Linked DNA regions of Rhinolophus ferrumequinum. The protein of the gene in region 2 purifies or fractionates together with the protein of the main gene of each other region. This does not show direct contact. Links are inferred from orthologs where the notes say so. Each region holds a gene or a part of one and is shown on either strand. Other genes may lie near its edges.

Region 1 (10,048 bases), on a different chromosome or scaffold from region 2:
GAGAGACCCCCAAAAGGCTAAACCACTCTCCTCCCTGAGCAAATCCTCGCTTCAGTTTAGCCACTAGAAAAATTACATCAAGGCAAACTGAAAGCACTCACACAGTGTATGTTGAATTAAATACTGACCAATAAAGCAAATAAAATACTCAGGAAGTAGTATCTCCCCACCTCCTCACAGGTGACGCCACCATGACAACCTCCAGGGGGTCCAAAGCAAGAGACAAAGGACATGTGACCTGGGCAGACTGATCACAACCCGAGGTTCCAGTGCCAGGTGGCTGCTGCTACCTCAAGAGCACGAGGCGAATACTACCAGGCAGGGTGAGCCAGTGGGCAGGCCAGTGGAGAGCTAACTGTCCCCTACTGGGTGACAGGCAAACTGGGACAAATTAGAAACCAAAGACTGGCCCCAGAGCCACACAGATAACCGGCCTGCTCGGGGCTCAAGACTGGGCAGAACTAATGTGGGCAAGGGTGCGCCCTGGTTGGCACATGCCCCACGTGGCTTAGAGGCACAGAGGTTCCCCACTTACCGGGGAAGGGCCAGCAGCCAGGTCTGCTCCCGGCTGGGGCTCTGGCCTGGATCGGGGCTGCCAGCCACCCTTCACGGGCAAATGAGCACCAGACACCGACACCCAACATCTCACACCACCTTCCGGCCTCCAACTGAATGAGGGTAGTAGGACTTGGAACCTCGGGGCGCTTTTAAAAGGGAACCTGGAGGCCTAGAACAGAACCTCTCATGTCCTTCACACAATGGCCTGTCCAAAGAACAACCTCCATCCGGGTCCCTCCTGACACTGGCTCCTGAACCCCAACTAGTTTTGCAGATGACGAAACAGGCTGAGAGCTAGCAAACTGCTTTCCAGAGCTAAAGAGAAAGCAGAGACCAGCCTGGCGCAGCGGGCGGGACCCTGGGCCGGCTCTTTGTGCAACCGCAGCTGCCTCTGCATGTCAGCACTTGGACCCGTGCTGTCCCTGGGACGGCCCTGCAGAGGGGGCCTGTCTCCAGCACACACACCACCACTTTCTGAGCAAATGTGTCAACAGGCCCCCAAAGGGAAGGGGCCGGACACAGCCCCTCACTCCCAACAGAGCCTCCCAGTTTTGAGAGTGGGCTAAGTGACCTCATAAGCCACAAATATCCAGTTTCGCTCAGGGCTTCTGTAACACTGAACATGGCACTGACTCTACCTCCCAGCACCCCTGCTCCCCCAGAGGCCAGCACCAGCCCTTAACTTGTCCCCTCTGCCCCCTTCCCCATCAGCTCTCACGTCTCTGAACCAAGGCGGGAGCAGCTAAATGCTAACCTGCCCAAGTCCTTGCCCAGCCTAAAATAGCTTCCACTGTCCTAACCCCACGGGGACATCACAGCCCCCAGCCTGTGCCCACTGAGAGAAGTACCCAACAATGGGGGAGTGGAAAAGCCAAATGTGCTTTATCCATCTGATGGAATATCGTTCAGCCGTGAAAAGGAATGGAGTGCTGACACGTGCTCCAAAGCGGATGCACCTCAAAACCGTAAAACTAAATAAGTGAAAAGGCCAGGAGAAAAGGTCACATAGCGTAGGAGTCCATGTAGATGAAATTCCAGAACAGACAGAAAGCCGACTGGTAAGCAGGGGCAATGGGAGCTACTATGTAATGGGAATGGAGCTTTACTTGGGGGTGATGAAAATGTTTTGGAACTTGATAAAAAATGGTCGTTGTACAACATTGTGAATCTACTAAACGCCACTGAATCGTACACTTGAAAATGGTTAATTTTATGTTATGTGTATGTCTTCTCAATTAAAAAAAAAAAAAAAAAAGGTTAGTTCAACACCTTTCACCTAGGACAGACCTGAATCTAGCATGTGTTTCCTATCCCCCCAACCAAAGTCTTCCAGAAGCTTCCATCGCCTTCTGGCTCACATCCAGACTCTGCAGCGTGATCTGGCCTCTTTCAACGGAGGAGACCACCTGGTCCCTGAGGACAGGGCTCTGGGACTGTGAGGGGGAACCCCTTGGGCCCCCCTCTCCCCTAGCTGTTTAGTCAGCTTCTTTCTCTACACAGAATGGCTGGCAGCAAAGGCTGGGGGCCTCATCTGTCATTCTATCCCCAGCACCTCACACAGGCGCCAAAGAGTAACATCAACCATAATAAGAGCTGGTACAGCGCCAGGCTCGTGTTACTCACTAAACTCATGGTAGGAAGTATTATATTATTAGCCCCATTTTACAGAAGAGAAAACTGAGGCACACAAAGGGAGAGTCAGCTGCCCAAGCTCCCCTCCCAGAGTAGGCAGCAAGGCGCAGATTAGACCCCCAGCCACCTGGGCTCTGTCCACACAGTTCAGCACCGGTCTCTGTGTCACAGCAAGAAATGAGTCAGATAGTAAACGAGATAACCAAGGTCACACAGAGAAGTACAATCCAGACTGTGTAATAACAGCTTCTAGACCTTCCAGACCAGAAAGATCAAGGACCCCGTTACACAACAGAAACTGCAGCTCTGCCACCACCAGTCCCTCACCCGGGACTGGGATGGTGCCAAGGGTTTCTCACACAGCATTTAATGCTCCCAACTGCCTGGGCTTGGGGGGGAACCAGGTGAGGATACTGGATGCAGAGAAGCTAAGTAAGTCGTCCAAAGTCAACCAGCTGCTGAGCATGTATGTAAACCAGGTTGGTCTGACCCCAAGCCCCCCCCCCCCACTTCAGCCCTGACGAGCCCCTGCCATAGGCAGGCAGCCATGCTTCGTCCTCACCTGACTGCACCCCCACACACACCCCCGCCCAACCAGTGTGCAAATTCTGGCAAATGCCTGAGCGGTGACACAGTGCTGCTGAAATTAGACGGGTTCCAAATACGACGGGATCTCCACAGCAAATGCTGGATCGTTTGGGTTGACTGGGGAAATTCTTGGATCCGAACGGGAGGTTACAGGCATGTGGGCCCTGCTTTGAAAAGCACAGAGTCCTTTGGGGGGGGGCTCTCTCAGTGGACTCCACACGGCATTTAGTTTACTCAACAGCCACCCGCTGGGCCCTCCCAGTGGGCCAGTCCTGGACAGGCTGGGCCTGGAGCAAGTGCTGTGGGGACAGAGGGGAGCGGCCTGGGCCATTCCCAGTACCGGGACCAGGAACAAAGGCACTTCCGTGGGCTCACAGCTTCAAATTGCAACAGGAAGCAATCAGGAAAAATAATGAGCTACCAACTTACTGGCTGCACTCCGGACGGATGCATAAATCGAACACAGAAATCAGGGACATACCATATCAAGAACAGCCCCAGGACTTGTCCATCCATTTTAGGCCTGGGTCACCCCATCAGCTGGTGCACTAAAACCCTCGTGCTGACATGCTTCCTAATGTTAAAATAATCAGCTCTATTTCTGCCTCACACACAACTGAACGCCACACACGATTCATCTTCTTAGGGGCTCGAACCACACAACGACAGGCATTCGCCTCCAGGAACCATCACCCCGAAAGGTACAGGAAATCCCAAACTGCAAGGAAGTGCAGATCAACAGAGCCGGCTAAGAAACCCCACCTTTAAAACAAACATCTTCCCAAAAAAAACCCTTTTGCCTCCATGTTCCAGGCATTTCCGGAAAGAAAAGGAGCAGCGTTGGCCTGAACTACCCAGATACTGTCATTGTTTTGTCGTCACCTTGTTTTGCTAGTATCAGACATGGCCGAGAAACGTAAACACGTTCCTGAGAGAGACAAATTTGGGGGGAAACCACTGACAGTCTCTAGGCTTGGGCTAGGAGGCAGGGGGACTTGAGGAAACCATGGCCTCTCTGCAACACCCCCCCCCCCCAAACCTCAGTGGAGGGGCCACAGCCCTGGGAATGTGACCACAGAGCCAGGCCAGTACACCTCGCTGCAATGTCCACACTGGAAATATCCAGAGAGACAGCTGTTTGTCTTGTTTGTCTTGAAGAGGCTCAGACAAAGGCACCCGAGGCCCCCTGCCCCCCCCAAAAAACGGCCACCAGCAGAACAGCAGCCCCAAGAGCACAGGACTTGCTGGCCGTGTCTACTTGGCCAGCCACACTGCAGAAAAACAACACTCACGTCAGAAGATAATGATTTAGGTAGCGAGAGACTTGCTTCAAAAACCACATGGCAATCTCCAAATTAAAAGAACATGTGTAGCGTTTCGCAGGCGCTTAGGTTTCCTGAGCCCTCCCGACCTCAACTCCACCCCTTGGGACACACCAAAAGTTGGAGAGAAAGGTCCCCAGCCCTCCATCTCCCCAAGGCTGTGCCCAACTGAGGCACCAGCACGCTGCCCCACCACGCCACGCTCTGGGACCAGGTCACCCCCGCGGTGGCCCCACACAGTCGGCCCCTGGGGTGGACACGGGCCGGGCGTCACTGTTTGGGGCCCCAGCGGCCAGACGTATCGTCCAGGCACCTGGCAGGTGTCAGTCCGTTTGGAAACCTACTGCGACGCAGATGAAAGGCCAGCGCAACAGGCCAGGCCGCCCCGCGCCCTGTCTCAGAACTTTTTCTGCAACTTAAATCAGTTCTCGGAGCTCGCAGGCCGGCTGCGCGGCCATCGGAAACAGGCTCGCCAAAGAGTTCCCAACGCAGGGCGGCCAGGCCTGTCTCCGGGCCGAAAGTCCCCGCTCGGTGCCTGCCCAGGGTCCCAGCACGGCCTCGCCCGCTGGCTTCACGCGGGCGCACTTCCGAGCGCGCCCCGGGGCCCGGGCAGGTGAGGACCCGCCCGCGCCGCGCCGCACCTGGCGGGGTCGGCGCCGCCTGCGCACCCTCCTCGCCGCCCCGGGACGCTCCGGACGGGCCCGGCGTCCGCGGGAGGGGCCCTGGCGGGCGAGACAAAGGGACCGCGCGCGGCCCCCGGGCAGCGGGGACGGCGGGGAGCAGCGGGGATCCGCGGCGCGCGCCCCAACTCGCCCCCAACTTGTAAAGTGGCTACCGCGCGCCGCGCACTTGGCCGCGGGCCGCCAGGGCGTCCGGGCCATTGTCCCTGCGGCCCGCGCCCACCTACCCGCGGCGGGGGCCAGGCTGCAGCAGAGTGCGAGCAGCAGCAGCGGCGGCGCCGGCCGGGGCGGCGCCGCCTCCATGTTATCCGGGGCCGGCCGGGCCCGCGCCGCGCTCACTCGGGCTCCATGGCGCGGCGCGGCGGCTCCTCGCGCGGCTCCGGCGCCTGCCGCCTCCCCCTCGGGCGCCGCGGACCAGGACGACGGGGGAGGAGGGAGGAGGCGCGGGAGCGGAAGCCGCGCCGCGTCTCCGCCCCCCGCCGCTGCCGCCCGCCCGCGCCCCCCGCGCCGGCCGCGCCCTCCCGCGGGCGCCCCCCGGAGCCGGCCGGCGGCGAGGCGGTCATTGCGCGCTCTCCCCACGGCCCTCCCTGCGCCCCCCGCCTCCCGCGGGGAAGGCCGCCCGGGCTCCTCCCGGCGCAGGGTCGGGCTCGGGGCTTTCACCCCGCAGGGCCCGGGGCCCGGAAGCAGGTGTGTCACCTGTAGGGCCGCAAGTACCTGGTTTTTACCGAGGGGGAAACTGAGGCACAGGGTTGTTGGGTTTTTTTTCGGGGAGGGGACATTGCCCCCGGACACACAGTGAAGCAGATTGGGGGCTGAAAGCCAGGGGCCCCGAGCCAGGTCTGTGCACTTCCCCGCGACCGCAGCCCCCACGGCAGGACCGGGTCGGGCGGCCAGGCGACACCTGTTCGCACTGGTGAGGTCACCCAGGAGGGCAGAGGACGACGGCGAATCGGCGCAGGGCGCGAACAGACTTGTAAGCGGATGAGAGAGTGAGGCAGTAGCTACACGGGCTGGGATTGGGGTGGGCCTAAGGTTTTATTTTTAAACTAAACGGACGCCCTCTACATTCATTGTGGTACAGACTCTGAGCGAAGACACGCTGGTCTTCTCAACATCCTTCTAAGCGGACTGAGCGAGAAAGCCCCTCTAGGATGGCAGACCTCATCTCTGACTCCGCCAAGCAGGCCCTGAGCTCCTCATCTTCCCAGCTCTGGGCCACCTGAGCGTCCAGCTTTGCCTGGACCCTCAGGGCACAGGAGGGACTTAGAGGGAGCACAGCCCCGGCTCTGGAAACCACGGGCCCCAACTCTGGCTCTGCAGCTTCCTAGAATCAGGTGTGCCCTTGGGCAGGTCTAAATATAACCTTCCCGGCACACTTTCCTCCCTTATAAAATAGGGAAGCAGTGCCTACCTTGCAGGTGCGAGAGAACTAGCGGTAAATCACCAAAAACTGATACTCACAGATGCGAATATTCTTCACGTACTTGTGACAACCTTACAAACCTAGTGGTCGGGCAGAACCTCTCTGTCCTGAGTGGGGCTGATATTCTAGGGAGGCAAGCAAAAACAAGAAGACAGATAAATTTAAAATTAAAAAAAAAAACCAAAATACCATTAACAGACTGAGGAATGCCATGAAAAATGAAGATTATTGTACTGCAATGTCTGGGGGAAGTCTGAGGTAGGGAGGTAGAGACGCCTGACAAAGCAGTAGGAGGAGCTAGCTGGAGCCAGTGCAGATCAGACCTGGACCCCAAGAGCAGTGGGGAGCCATCGTGGGTGTTGAGTAGCAAAACCCTTGCTGATTGCTCTCTCACACCCTGTGCCCAACCCTAGAAGCACATCCTGTTGGCTCTACTTTCAAAACAGATGCAGACTCCCGGCTCTTCTCATACCTGTGCTATCACTACCCTTGTTGGGGTCCCCTCTCACCTCCATGGGTCTTCTGCTTCTGCCTTGACCCCCTTCAGCCTAATCTCACAGCCAGAATGAGCCTGTTTAAACAAGTCAGATCACATCCCTTCTTTGCTCAAGAATCTTCTCTGGCTCCCATGTCAGCCAAAGGCTTTATGGCAACTACTGGGCCTGATCTGGCCACACCCTTCCCATTATCTCTCCAACCTCCTCTGCACCCTCCTTCCTCTCCCTCACCCTGCTCCAGACACAATGGCCTCCTCACTGGTCCTCAGACACACCGAGCACACTCTTGCCTCAGGGCCTTTGCACTTGCTGATCTCTCTGCTGGAACTGTTTTACCCCAGTTAGCCACATAGTTTATTTCCCCACATCTTCGGTTGCTCAGCCAGGCCTTCCCTGACCCGCCTTTGAAAATTGTAAACCACACCCCCTGGAACACGCACCCATGCTGCCTCTTCCTGCTGCATTTCTTCGCTTTACTTTTCTCCTTTGCACTGAGCGACATCTGACAGACTAAGTGTTTAAACTTACCTTTCTTCCGTCCAAGAATGGAAGCTCGATGAGAACAGAGACTGTCCTTTGTTTTGTTCCCTGTGTATCCCCTGAACCTAGACCAGGGCCTGGCACATAGTAGGTGCTTACAAAACGTTTGTTGAATGAATGAAGTGAAAACATCTGATTTACATTTATAAAAGGAGCACTCTGGCTGCCAAGTGGGAACAAGATTGTCAGGAGGGAAGAGGGAATGAGGGGACTGGGTACCATAGTAGCCGCCAGGAGAGATGGCAGCTTGGACTGGCAAGGGGTGGGGAGCTCAGGAATGGTGAGAAGGACCTGGATTTGGGATGCTTTAGGAAAAGCAAATGGGGCTCACTAAGGCCACTGGCTGTGGAGAAGAGGGGAAGGGGGCCCGAGGTGGCTCGCCATAGGAACTACGCTAGGTCTAAAGTTCAAGTCAAGTTTCTAAATCTGAGAAGGGATACTGAGGAGCTGAAGACCTTACGCTCAGTTATGCAGATGATTGAAAGTAAAATGATCCAAGAATACAAACAAACAAACATTGGGATTCTTTGTTCTGGAGGAGGAAGGTGGCAAGCTTGATTGTCAGAATGGGAGACTTCAATAAATAGAGAAGAGGGCATTTAAGTCAGGGGATGGCGGAGGCTGGCAGCAGCTCCTGGGGTGCCCTGGGGTTTCCTGTGCCAACTCTTGGGGTGTCAATTGTAGAGACCCCCCCACAGGAAAGGTACTGTGCCCCAGGTCTTCAGGCATCACAGCAATGACTCCATCCAAACTTTGAGAAAAGTCATTTGTAAAGAACAAATGAGAATGAGGTACTATTCTGCAGAATTCCTACATCACAAGGGCAGTAATCTTTACATTCTTCACTAATGTAAGAAGCAGCTGGAGAACGTGTTAGGCTTCCCAGAAGGCTGCCTGTCACAGCTCATCACGCCACGAAAGTTTCCTTAGGTCTCGCGTTTGGAAATGTTCACTCTCAATTTATTCCTCAGATGCAGGTTTCATCCCAGGGAAGTAACAGGGGCTCAGCACCTGTCAGATCTAATAGTTTCTGGGGACAAGGGCTCAATTGGGGTCCATTCAGGGCCCATCGAAAGATGCCACCTCAGCCCCGTGACATTTGGGGAAAGTGCCTTTTTGGTTTCCCTCCCATGCGGGAACATGCTGACTCTGGAGAGTTATTCTGGGCACGAGAGCCCTCCCTCCCGGCAGGCCTGGCGGCTGTGGACAGAGGTGTGCCTTAGGCTCCCAGCATTCCCGGCTCTCTGAACCACGAGCATCTTCCTGAGGGCAGCTCGGTGGAGGAGGGCAGAGGGAATGTCCACTGACCAGCCCATCCCTCAGATCCCAGAGGGCCTCCCCCTGCAACAGCACCACCTCCGAGCAACCTGCTCCAGGAGCAGGCAAGGGGAGGCAGCCACCAGCGCATGGTGGTGGGCAGTGCAAGGCTTAATTGGCAGTGGAGCCACGGCTCCTGTGGAGACAGCTGGGGTGTGAGGGACACGGGCTAAACTTCCCCTCTGAGCCTCAGTTTCCTCATTCATAAAATGGGAATATCTGCTCAACTGTTTATCTCTTAGTGCTGATGTGAACTTCATCCAAGAGAAGATTCATAAAAATGTTCTTTATACTTTGAAGCCCTGCATTCACGTGACTTGTGATTAGTGTGGGCCCACGATAGGGCACAAGAGCAAGTGTGGGTTAGGCAACCCCGCACACTTGCTCTTCTCTCTCCGATAGTTGGCATCCAGCCCTTAGTTTCTGTAGCCCTGAGCTTCCCTCCTCCTGATCTGTGGCTCGTCATGTGACTCGATCCTGGGGGAGCATTAATGCCACGTGACTGTCTGGTGCACCCAGCAGGGTTATTTTCAATACAGATTAAGAAGTTGATATTCAGGTTTGATATCCCTTTTTTAGCTCTTTAAAGACACCTATAGTGGGCTGAATAGTAGCCCCCAAACAGATATGTCCGCACCCTAATCCTGGGAACCTGTGACTGTTAATGTGTTTGGACAGAGGGTCTGTGCAGGTATAATTTAGGTAAGGATCCTAAAACGAGGTCATCCTGGATTATCAGGGTGGGCCCTAAATCCAATGACAATGGGCCTTAATACAGAAAGGCAGAGAGAGGGCTGGCCAGTGTCTAATGCCGAGGTTGCCGGTTCGATTCCCACATGGGCCAGTGAGCTGCGCCCTCCACCACTAGATTGAAGACAACCAGCTGCCGCTGAGCTTCTGGAGGGGTCAGATGGCTCAGTTGGTTAGAGTGCAAGCTCTCGACAAGGTTGCGGGTTCAATTCCGTGTGGGATGGCATGGGATGGTGGGCTGTGCTCCCTGCAACTAAGACTGAAAATGGCAAGTGGACTTGGAGCTGAGATGCGCCCTCCATGACGAGATTGAAGGACAACGACTTGGAGCTGATGGGCCCTGGAGACACACACTGTTCCTCAACAATATTCCCCAACAAAAAAATTAAAATAAAATAAAAAATCACTCTTCAGTACAATGCCTTTTCCTACATAAAAAGAGACAAAAGAGATGTCCTGACTGATCTTTTTTTAAAAAATGCTTCAAAAATAACTCTGATGATATTAAGAATTGTATTTTTTAGATATGAAGAAACTATTCTAATTATGTAGCGGAGTGCTCTTAGGAGAGCTAAACTATTTAATGGTGAACCGTCATATTGTCTGCAATGCACTTTCAACATATTTTTGGCAAATATGGCAAAACCTTAACAAATTTTGAATCTAGGTGATCAAATTATGGATGGTCACTAAAAAATAAAGTTATAAACTGGCCACAGACTGTGAGATAAGGAGTGTTTT
Region 2 (10,048 bases):
ATTTAGGTATGGTATTACAATATTAAATTCAATTTAAAAAATCTTAGCTCAAAACCCGTGTTGGCAGCCTGGTGGAGAAACATGCGGTTATGGTTTGATTTGTGTCCCTCCAAAATTCATATGTCAAATCCTAACACCTAGTACCTCAGAATGGGGCCTTATTTGAAGTAAGGTTATTATAGAGGGACCATGTTTCCCCGAAAAGAAGACCTAGCTGGACAATCAGCTCTAATGCATCTTTTGGAGCAAACATTAATGTAAGACCCCGTATATATTATATTATATTATATTATATTATATTATATTATATTATATTATATTATATTATATTATATTATATTATATTATATTATATTATATTATATTATATTATATTATATTATATTATGACCTGGGTCTTATATTAATTTTTGCTACAAAAGACCCATTAGAGCTGATTGTCCGGCTAGGTCTTATTTTTGGGGAAACAGGGTAATTACGGTAAGATCATTAGAGTCAGCCCCAGTATGACTGATGTCCTTATAAAAAGGGGGAATTAGGACATGGACATGCACACCGAGGGAACACTGTGTCAAGATGAAGGCATGGATCAGGGTGATGCTTCTTGACAGGCCAAGGAATGCCAAACATGGCCAGCAAACCACCAGAAGCTAGGGGAGAGGCATGGAACAGACTTCCTCACCGCTCTCAGAAGCAACCAACCATGCCAACACTCTGACCTCAGAGTCCCAGCTTCCAGAACTGTGAGACAATACATTTCTGTTGTTTAAGCCCCCAGTGTGTGATACTTTGTTCCAGCAGCCCCAGCAAACTAATGCCCACTTATATGTCACTGGTCAGATTGGGGACCTGGCTGGGATTTCTGGAGAACAACCCTGCAACATGTAGCAAACTGTTTACCCTTTTGGACTAGCATTCACTTCTGGAAAATACTTTAACATTTGAAAAAAAAATTACTTTGTGGAATACTACTGGGCAATAAAAAAGAATACATTGTGGATAGTACATGCAACAACTTGGATGAATTTCCAGGGAATCATGCTGAGTGACAAAAGTTAATCCTAAAAGGTTACATACTAGTTGATTCCTTTATATAACATTTCTGAAATGACAAAACTGTAGAAATGGAGAACAGATCAGTGGTACCGTGGGTTAGCGGTGAAAAGGGTTGGCATGGGCGGAGGGTGATTCTAGTTATAAAAAGGCAACAAGAGAATCTTTGTGGCCACAGAGTTGTTCTTTATCTTGGCTGTGATGGTGGCTACTTGACCCTGCACATGTGATAAAGTTTCATATAACTAAACATACTCACGTACAAGTAAAATGGGGGAAATCTGAATACGATTGATTGGTGGAGTGTATCAATGCCAATATCCTGATTAGGATGTTTCACTATAGTTTTGCAAGATGTTACCATTGAGAAACTGGGAAACGGTACATGGAATTGTCTCTGTATCATTCCTTACAAGTGCATGTAAATTTGCAATTATCTCAAAATAAAAAGTTTAATACAAAAAATTACTTTGTACAGGATGTTCATAGCATCCCTACTGAGGATAGGGGAACACTGAAAATAAACTACCCACAACAGAAGTCAGCTAAAACCCCGGGAGTTTAAGTGCGGGAGTATTGCTGAGCTCTGAACAGCGATAAACTTGTGGACTGAGTAAAGCTAAAGTTGAATTAGTGTTATGTGAAAAAGCAGATGGCATCATAGCAGGTTCTCTCTGAGCCATTCTGTGGAAAGTATGGCTATACGTTGGCAGAGAATAATTCAAAAAGATGTAGATAATTTAGAGATTCAAGTCCACTGGATTCTTCTTTTTCTCTCATTTTAACATTACTTCAGTTTCAAATAAGATAATGACATGAAATAAACAAAATCCTGAGTCTCTCCACTCCTAGTCCCTGGCTCCTCCTTCTGTTTCCAGCAGGTGGCAGAAGTGTTCCAAGGATGGTCCCCACGGTCTCTGTTTCCTTTGGATGGGCCAGCAGCTCTCAACAGCAGGAGGGGCTCGAGCATCAATCCCGCCAGCTCAAGGAATCCAGGCAGCAGAACTGTCTTCTCCGAAGCCCAGGGCAAGGAGGCAGTTGTCTGGCCTCAATAGGGTTAACAGTCCACATTCCAGAACAAGGGAAAAGGAGACTGGTGGGTCACAGACAGGCAGAGGGGGTTCTGGAGGGCCAGCTTCTCACAACACACAGCCTCTGTTGGGAGAGATAGATCACCCCCAACAATGGCCACAGCTGTTTTCGTCTGCCCTGAAGGAAACTGACTTAGGAAGCAGGTATCAGAGAGGGCCCTTCCTGCAGGGGCTTCTGTCTGGCTTGTAAAACTGTCAGAGCAGCTGCATTCATGTGTCGAGTGATGGATGATGGAAAGAAGGAGGGACAGATGGCCACAGATGGACACAGTGACTTACAAGTCCAGGCAGGTGGCAGAGGCCTGGCAGAGGCTCTGCAGGTGGGGCATGCTGATTCATTGCCCAGTGAAAATACCAAGGGGACCTGGGCCACAGCCCTCTTCCCAGCTCCTTCAGGGCCGGAGTGGCTGCACCTCCTCAATCTGTCTGCAATGAAAGCTTCCGCTGGCCCTCCTTTCTTTTCCTGCACCTCAGGTGTGAACCTTCCTGCCCCTGCACCTCTGCCCCTCCCAGGCCCCTCATTCTGCTCCAGGGCTGAAGTAGCAATTCCTTTTGGTTTCTTTGTGGCTGGCTGGACCTGGGGTGGCTTCGTGGAATCCTCCCCGTGGTATGCATCAATCAGATTTTCCATATAGGACTCAACGCTGGTTTTGAAAAATGAAATGGGCTGGGAGACAGAAAAAAAACACGTCAGCACTAAAAATGTTGGCCTTGGCTTTTGCTAAGAAAATGGATTTTGTGCTCTCTACTCCTACCCGCAGCCCGGCCAAAGAAATAACTGTCTTTAGCACATGCGCCTGCGAGCCACAGTGAGTGTCCTGGCCAAAAAGTGCCTGTCACCGTGTGCGGGATCCCTGAGGAGCTTGAAATGCAGTTTCCTCCTTGAGCTCCAGCACCAGTTCCCGTTGACTTGCTCATCCTGGCTACTTATAATGGGAATCCCCATCTCCTTGCCCAAGTGGGCACCCTTGCTGTGGCCCTCAGTTTTCCCTCTTGCCTTCCAGAGGATGCCAAGCAGGGCTTTTTTGATCAGAACAATCAATGCTGAGCCTCATGGACTTGGGACCAATGAGATTTCTTTAAAAGCATGCTTCTGCCTCTATTTGGGTCTGTGGGGGGCCAAATTGACACCCCCTAGGGCCATTTTTTCATGTGACAAATGAACTTGGCCTTAGAAATGGGATCAGTAGGGCTCAGCCCTATGGAGGATTCAGAGCTGCAGTTTTCTTTGTTAAGCTTGTCCAAAGTTTGTTTTGAGAAAGCCTGAGGGCCCCAGGAAGGTAGAGATTAAGAGCCGGGATTCATTTTGATATCTGAAAACCACAGCCGTCTGCTTGTGGGAGGCGCTGGAGAGCAGGCTTGCCTCACACACACACCCCTCTCTCTGGGTCACCTGGGAGCACCAGCAGCAATTTGGGAGTTTGCTGCCCTTGAGGAGAAGTCTTTGTAGCGGGTTTGTTCTGAGCACACCCCTTTCCCTCCCCCTGGGCTGAGGAAAGCATGGGACCAGCACTGCCCCAGCCTGTCATTGGCTGGCACTAGGCAGAGGGGGCTTTAAAAAGGCAAACGTGTCTGGGCTGGGGACTGGAGCTTGTGCTACTGGAAGGCCAAGTGCCCTCCTCCGGCTGGCACCATGCAGCCCTCTCTTGCCCTGTGTCTCGTCTGCCTGTTGGTGCACGCAGCCTTCCGTGCGGTGGAGGCCCAGGGATGGCAGGCCTTCAAGAATGATGCCACAGAAATCATCCCTGAGCTGGGCGAGTACCCTGAGGCCCCGCCAGAATTGGAGAACAACAAGACCATGAACCGGGCGGAGAACGGCGGAAGGCCTCCCCACCACCCCTTTGAGAACAAAGGTATGGGGTGGAGGAGAGCACTTTAAGCATAGGGGTCCTCTCATGGGAGGGTTCTCTTTGGGACGTGTTGAAGACTAGGGTAGACTGTTAGCCACTGCCAGCAACGGTGGAGGGACAGTCTTGTCTGGAAGCAGGAGAAGGATGACCTGCCAGCAGAGCCTGGGAATCTGAGTGCAGTGACTTGAGACTGGCAGGGGGCAGGATGGAGGCTGAGGTGGTGAGGGTACAGCATTGGGACAGGCTCCGAGGCTGGGAAAGCTTTCAAGGGATCCCTTCCTGAGACTACAGGAGCCTGGTCCAGCTGTCGGCACCACTGAGGAGGGAACAAGGCAAGGGAGCCTCGTATCTATGAGCACCTGCTGGAGGCCAGATGCTCTCTGTGAGCTGTACATGGGCTGTCCCCCAGGGACCCACCACGTGGAAGCCCCCTAAGGTGAACTCCCAATTTGAAGGTGAAGAAACTGAGGTTCCAGAAATGAAGTAATCTGGTAGTGAGTAGAAGAACTGAGATTTGAACCCCTTTTGATCCAATTCCAAGACAGCCCAGGTAGGGGATTATGGGTGGAGTGTTGGGGACCAAGAGCCAGAGCAAATCCCTCTAAAGCAGTGGGAAAGGGATGGCAGAAAAGCACTCCATCAATTCCCCCTGCCCATGGTCTGCCCGGTGAGCTGGCACTTGAAGGAATGAGAGTGTAGGCACAGTTTTAGCCTCTGGGTGGCAGCTGGACCTTGGAGGGGAGGCAGCATCCTCTGTGCAGGGAGTAGACACAGGTGGCACCATCTGTCCTGGGTCCCCACCTCATATTCGACCTTGCCTCATTTCTGGGGAGGGAGCCTGACCCTACTGAAAAGTCAATGGCCCCAGTGGAGGGTACACCTGGGTTCCTGATCAGGTGCCCACAGAGAAGCCTGTGGGGCAGTGTGCACAGCTGGCTCTGCAGCTGGCAGGAATGGCTGGGGGTGGAGGCTGGGATGACACTTCAGACTAAGGGCCTCAGTGCCCTCTGGCCATTGTCCAGAGGGGAGAGGAGCCCACTGCCCAGGCTCCTACATTCCATCCGTCCCTTCCTCCCAACTAGCTGGGAACATGGGGCTCTGCCAAGAGCAAAACCAGAGGAGCCTGGGGGTCCCTTGGGTCTTCCTACCTGGAGGGCGGGCGTGCCCTCCCCCTACTTCCCCCACCCCCAGAGAAGGTCAACTAAGCTCAATCCATGGGCTCTAGGGGACCCACCTATGAGATGTCCACATCCCTGAGCTCCCATGAGAGGCCACAAGCCCCAAGGAAGCCACTTGCTCAAAACAAAGTCACCCTCTGAAGAGGAAGTGCCTGACCTAGGGGCACTATTCTTGGAAAGCCCAAAAGCCTTCTTCCCTGGGCAAACAAGCCACCCCCACACACCACCCCTGCAGCCTGGGAGCAGGAGTGAGGATGCCAAACCAACCCAGAAACCAGAAGGCCAGCCACAGGAGGAAGGCAAGCTCCACATCTCCCCTGCTGTGTTTGCTCTCCAGTGTCTGGCTCTCTCTGCCCCCTCTCCGGTTTTGGTCTTAGGATTATTTTTCATCCCTTTGTGTCACATGGGTCCCATAAGACTCTTGGGGGTGGACAGATGCCCACACGAGGATCAGCTGTTTAAAAAGCTCCCGCTCATCTAAACCCATAGTAGAAGACACCATCAAGGTGACTTTAGGGGCCTAAGCCAGGTCTCAGAGCTCAGTCTTACCCCACCCAAGAAACAAGCCTGTGCCACCATCAAGTGTCTATTCAAATGGCACAGAGCAAGAGACGTGTCCAGCAGGGTGCCTGGTACACAGCAGGTGCTTAATAAATGTTTGTGGCAGTTGAGCCTGTAGGTTTTCCGGCAGAGCTTGGTCCCCTTCTGCTAGGGAAGTAACTATAGTAAAAAGCAGCCCTCCGCCCCGCCCTCCCCTCACTCCCCAGCCCAGCCTCCCATGGTTGCTTAGGCACACAGCTTCCACCTGTGTGGGAGCCAAGAGGTGCTGGGGCCCCAGGGAAGTAGAGTCAGGAGACCCAGCTCTGCCTTTTGGGCAAGTGCTTTTCCCTGTCTGTCCTCAGTGATAATGAGGGGGTTTGCCTTTGGCTCCTTTCAAGTCTAATGACTTGTCCTCCTCTCCACCTCTCTTCCATCCTTCTCCTTAGCAGCAGCTGCCCTGATTTATCACCTTCAATTAATCCCTACCCCTGTCTCCATCCCCTAACCGCCCCTCCCAAGTGGCCAGAAAAGGAATTTGGGAGAAGCCAGAGACATGCAGACGGTGTGGCTAGTACCTACCCTGCCATGGCCAGGGACCCTGTGGCACAGGTGTGACCGAAGTCTGGCGAAGAGGAACAATAATAATACATAGTAACAGCCAACACTTCCAGCTTTTACTATGTGCGGGTGGTGTCCCCTGCATTACATATGTGATGGATAAATGAACGGAATCCTCAAGACAACCCATTTTACAGATAGGTTGCAAAAATACCAAAAACCAAAAACCAAAAACCAAAAAAAAAAAAAAAAAAAAAAACCACCAAAACTTGGCTTCAAAGTTTTAGGAGGAGAGGGTGGGCTGGAGAGCTTCCCACCGGCTGGGCCCTTCCCGTAATAGATGCCCAGAGGCAAAAGAACCCTGTCTGGAGAAAGGCAGGTTTGGGGAAGGCGGGGTGAGGGGGATGGAGGGGTGTAAGGCCTAAGGCTTGGAGGGAGCCGCCGCCCTCACGCGCGCCTCTCTCCGCAGACGTGTCCGAGTACAGCTGCCGCGAGCTGCACTTCACCCGCTACGTGACGGACGGGCCATGTCGCAGCGCGAAGCCGGTCACGGAGCTGGTGTGCTCGGGCCAGTGCGGACCCGCGCGCCTGCTGCCCAACGCCATCGGCCGCGGCAAGTGGTGGCGCCCGAACGGGCCCGACTTCCGCTGCATCCCGGATCGCTACCGCGCGCAGCGGGTGCAGCTGCTGTGTCCCGGCGGCGCGTCCCCGCGCGCGCGCAAGGTGCGCCTCGTAGCCTCATGCAAGTGCAAGCGCCTCACCCGCTTCCACAACCAGTCCGAGCTCAAGGACTTCGGGCCCGAGGCTGCGCGGCCGCAGAAAGGCAGGAAGCCGAGGCCCCGCGCCCGGGGCGTTAAAGCGAACCAGGCCGAGCTGGAGAACGCCTATTAGAGCCACCTGCCCGCCGCGCCACCCCAGCCGGCGCCCCCCATCCGGGCGCCGCAGGTTTCTGCCCTCTGCGCGCGGTTTGATTGTTTGTATTTCATTTTAAATGCCTGCAACCCAGGGCAGGGAGCTGAGACCTGCCTGGCTTCGCAGAAGGTAGCCAGACCCTGCGGATCCCGGGTGCCAACAAAGCCCCACTCTCCCCGTCCGCCCGCCGAGAGGGTCCCGCAGGGCCGGGGAGGGAGAGTCACAGACACTGAGCCATGCGGCCCCGCCCACCGGGGCCGCCTACCTTTGCAGGTCCCACTTCAGAGGAGGCAGGAAAGGAAGCATTTCACCGCCCCGGGGTTTTAGGAAGCGGTGGGGAGTGAGAAAAGTCTGGGGACTGGTTAAGAAATTTCCATAAGATCCCTATCCACTTCTCTGCGTGTCGTAAAGCCTTTAGTGCCACGCTGTGCCAAGAACACAAGACGGGGGTCTGAGAATAGGGTTTCTAGTCCTGGTTCTGCCACTAATTTGCTGGTGAACTTGGACTACAGTCTTCTCTTTCTGGACTTCGATTTCCTCTTTGTAAAATGCAGGTGGGGGTGGGATTAGGATCTCCGGCAATCTTCTGTCATAAGATTCTAAGGGCTCTGGTGCTTGTTGAATGGGCAGGGAGAGAGGTTGGATTGAACCATGGTCATGTCCAGAATTCGGAGTTGTAATCCTGTGACCTGACAGCCAAAGATGAAAAACAAACAGGAAAAAAGAGTCTATTCGTGCCTGACAGACTCCCGAAAGACACGGAGTTGTTTCCCAGGCTGGCTTCCCTAGATGTTTGGCTACCTCCACCCTTCCATCTCAAAGGATGCAGAAGCAACATCATTAATTGGGGTAGAGAAGGAGAAGGTCCCAAGGGTGGTGGGAGGAAAAGAAATCACCCCCCTATTCCCAAAGAGCAGTGTCCCGCCCCCACCCCGTGGCCATATTTTAAAGTCACCTTCTGCAGAGAAGCTCAAGGTCCCAGGACACTGGGCTTGCAGGCCCAAGGGAGCAGCCACCACCCTTTCAAAGACCAGCAAGCAGATCCCTTCAGAGGCACCTCTTCGTAACTCATGGACACATTTCTGTCTAGAAAATTGCTTCTTACTATTGTTACGTGTGTGGTGGCATATCTTACATTAAAATGATATTATTGGGGAAAAATTACAAGTGCTGTACATATGCTGAGAAACTGCAAAGCCTAATAGCTGCCATCCAAAAATCTTTTTGAAAATCATTTCCAGACACCTCTTACTTTCTGTGTAGTTTATAATTGTTCAAAATTTTTTTGTTGTTGTTAAACAGAAGCACATGCCATGTGAAAGCCTGCTGGGCTGGTTGTTTTCTGCAATCCTTTCATGTGGGATTTGTCCACAAGAATGAAAGTCGTGGTTTTTAAAAAGAGTTAAGTTACATATTTATTTTCTCATTTAAGTTATTTATGCAAAAGTTTTTCTTGTAGAGAATGACAACGTTAATATTGCTTTATGAAATACCAGTCTGTTCTTTCAGAATCCAGAAGCATTGTTAATAAACACAATGAGTCGTTATGGAGAGGATGTGGTCTCATTTCTCAACCACACACAGTCATTTCTGTCAGTTAACATCCTTCTTTGGGTCACTATGACACCTTTGACTGCACGATGGTGGCCCTTGTGACAATTATGTCCTTTGAAAAGTCATGTTCGTCCCTTCCTCTCCAAACCTAGACCTCATTCCTTCACTCTGCTATTGTAATAAATCTCAGCCTGGTCTCCCTCAAGCAGCCTGCCCTTCGCACTGTTCCAAAAACACGGTTCTCATTGTGTCACACCCCTGCTCAAAATCCCTTAATAGTTCCTCCTTGCCCAGCATCAAGTTCAGTCTTCTCAGCCTGACAAATAAGGCTTTTGCCTGCTTAACTCCCATCCTCCACTTCCCCAAGCTTCCTTACTGACTCCAGGTGCCACATGCTGTACTGATCCCCACCTCCCTAGTTTGCTCCCCAGCCTCAAACAACTCTTGCTCTTTCTTTGGGGTTCATGTTCCTTGTCATCTCTTCCCTGACCCTCCCAGAAGTGTTCCAATCCCCACTGATCCCTCGCGCCTCAGATGTCCAGCCCCTTTTGTCCATGCCTCTATTTTGGTTCCTAAGTCTCTGATTCGACATTCATTCGTGGACCACCGGCCTCACCTGGCCACACCCTGCTGAGTAATGGGATAGACACAAAGCCAAGGATAATTCAGGACCAGCTCACAGGAAGCGCAGCCAAGCTTTGACCCAAACATGAATTTTATGCCTCTCTGGTGAGGATATAAGATTGTCACAAGCAAGGACAATATCTTGCACTTCTCTCTTAGTGCCAGATGCTAGCTGAAACTCAAGAGATACTCTTTAAATGCCATAAGGAGGGATAATCAGTTGCAAAGCTTTCAATCAAGTCCAGCCCACCCCCAGAACCTTCCTTACCCCCAAAAGGAAGCTGAGGTCCGCCCGTGATGACTTTGAACTTTAACTCCCAATGAACCCTCCCAAAGCCACCATCATCATCAACAAGTCTGTGTCAGGTGTCAGTGGGTGTTGCTGCTCCAGGCCTGTGAGGAATCTGTGCATTGTGAGGAATCCAGAAAACAGGAGCAGGTAGGAAGTGGATACATGGTTCAGCCCCCGGAGACAGTGTGGCTTAGTGGTGGGACACTGGCTCGGGAGCCATGTTTGTGTCTGAACCTGAGGCACTGAGGGGTTAATTGTTTTGCCCACAGCCGGATATGGGCTCCTTCCCTTCCCTGACACTCAAGCAGCTCAGACTCTGTTGGGTACATGGGCAAATAATCAGGTCACATTGTTCTGTACAAAATGTTATGTGACCGAGAACAAGAGTAATTGGCT

What was found.
Region 1: the proteins of SOST (region 2) and LRP5 purify together in Homo sapiens (affinity purification with mass spectrometry; 3 studies listed by BioGRID and IntAct, counting the BioPlex papers as one, with this or other methods). This does not show direct contact. The link is inferred for Rhinolophus ferrumequinum from reciprocal best matches to the Homo sapiens genes SOST and LRP5.

Annotation. Positions count from the first base shown.
Region 1 is NC_046294.1:4,386,886-4,396,933, forward strand, and holds the start of LRP5 (low-density lipoprotein receptor-related protein 5), read right to left. Parts: upstream 5,199-10,048; 5' UTR 5,084-5,198; coding exon 5,008-5,083; intron 1-5,007. UniProt on the Homo sapiens protein: Acts as a coreceptor with members of the frizzled family of seven-transmembrane spanning receptors to transduce signal by Wnt proteins.
Region 2 is NC_046304.1:38,981,021-38,991,068, reverse strand, and holds SOST (sclerostin), read left to right. Parts: upstream 1-3,708; 5' UTR 3,709-3,777; coding exon 3,778-3,997; intron 3,998-6,739; coding exon 6,740-7,161; 3' UTR 7,162-8,729; downstream 8,730-10,048. UniProt on the Homo sapiens protein: Negative regulator of bone growth that acts through inhibition of Wnt signaling and bone formation.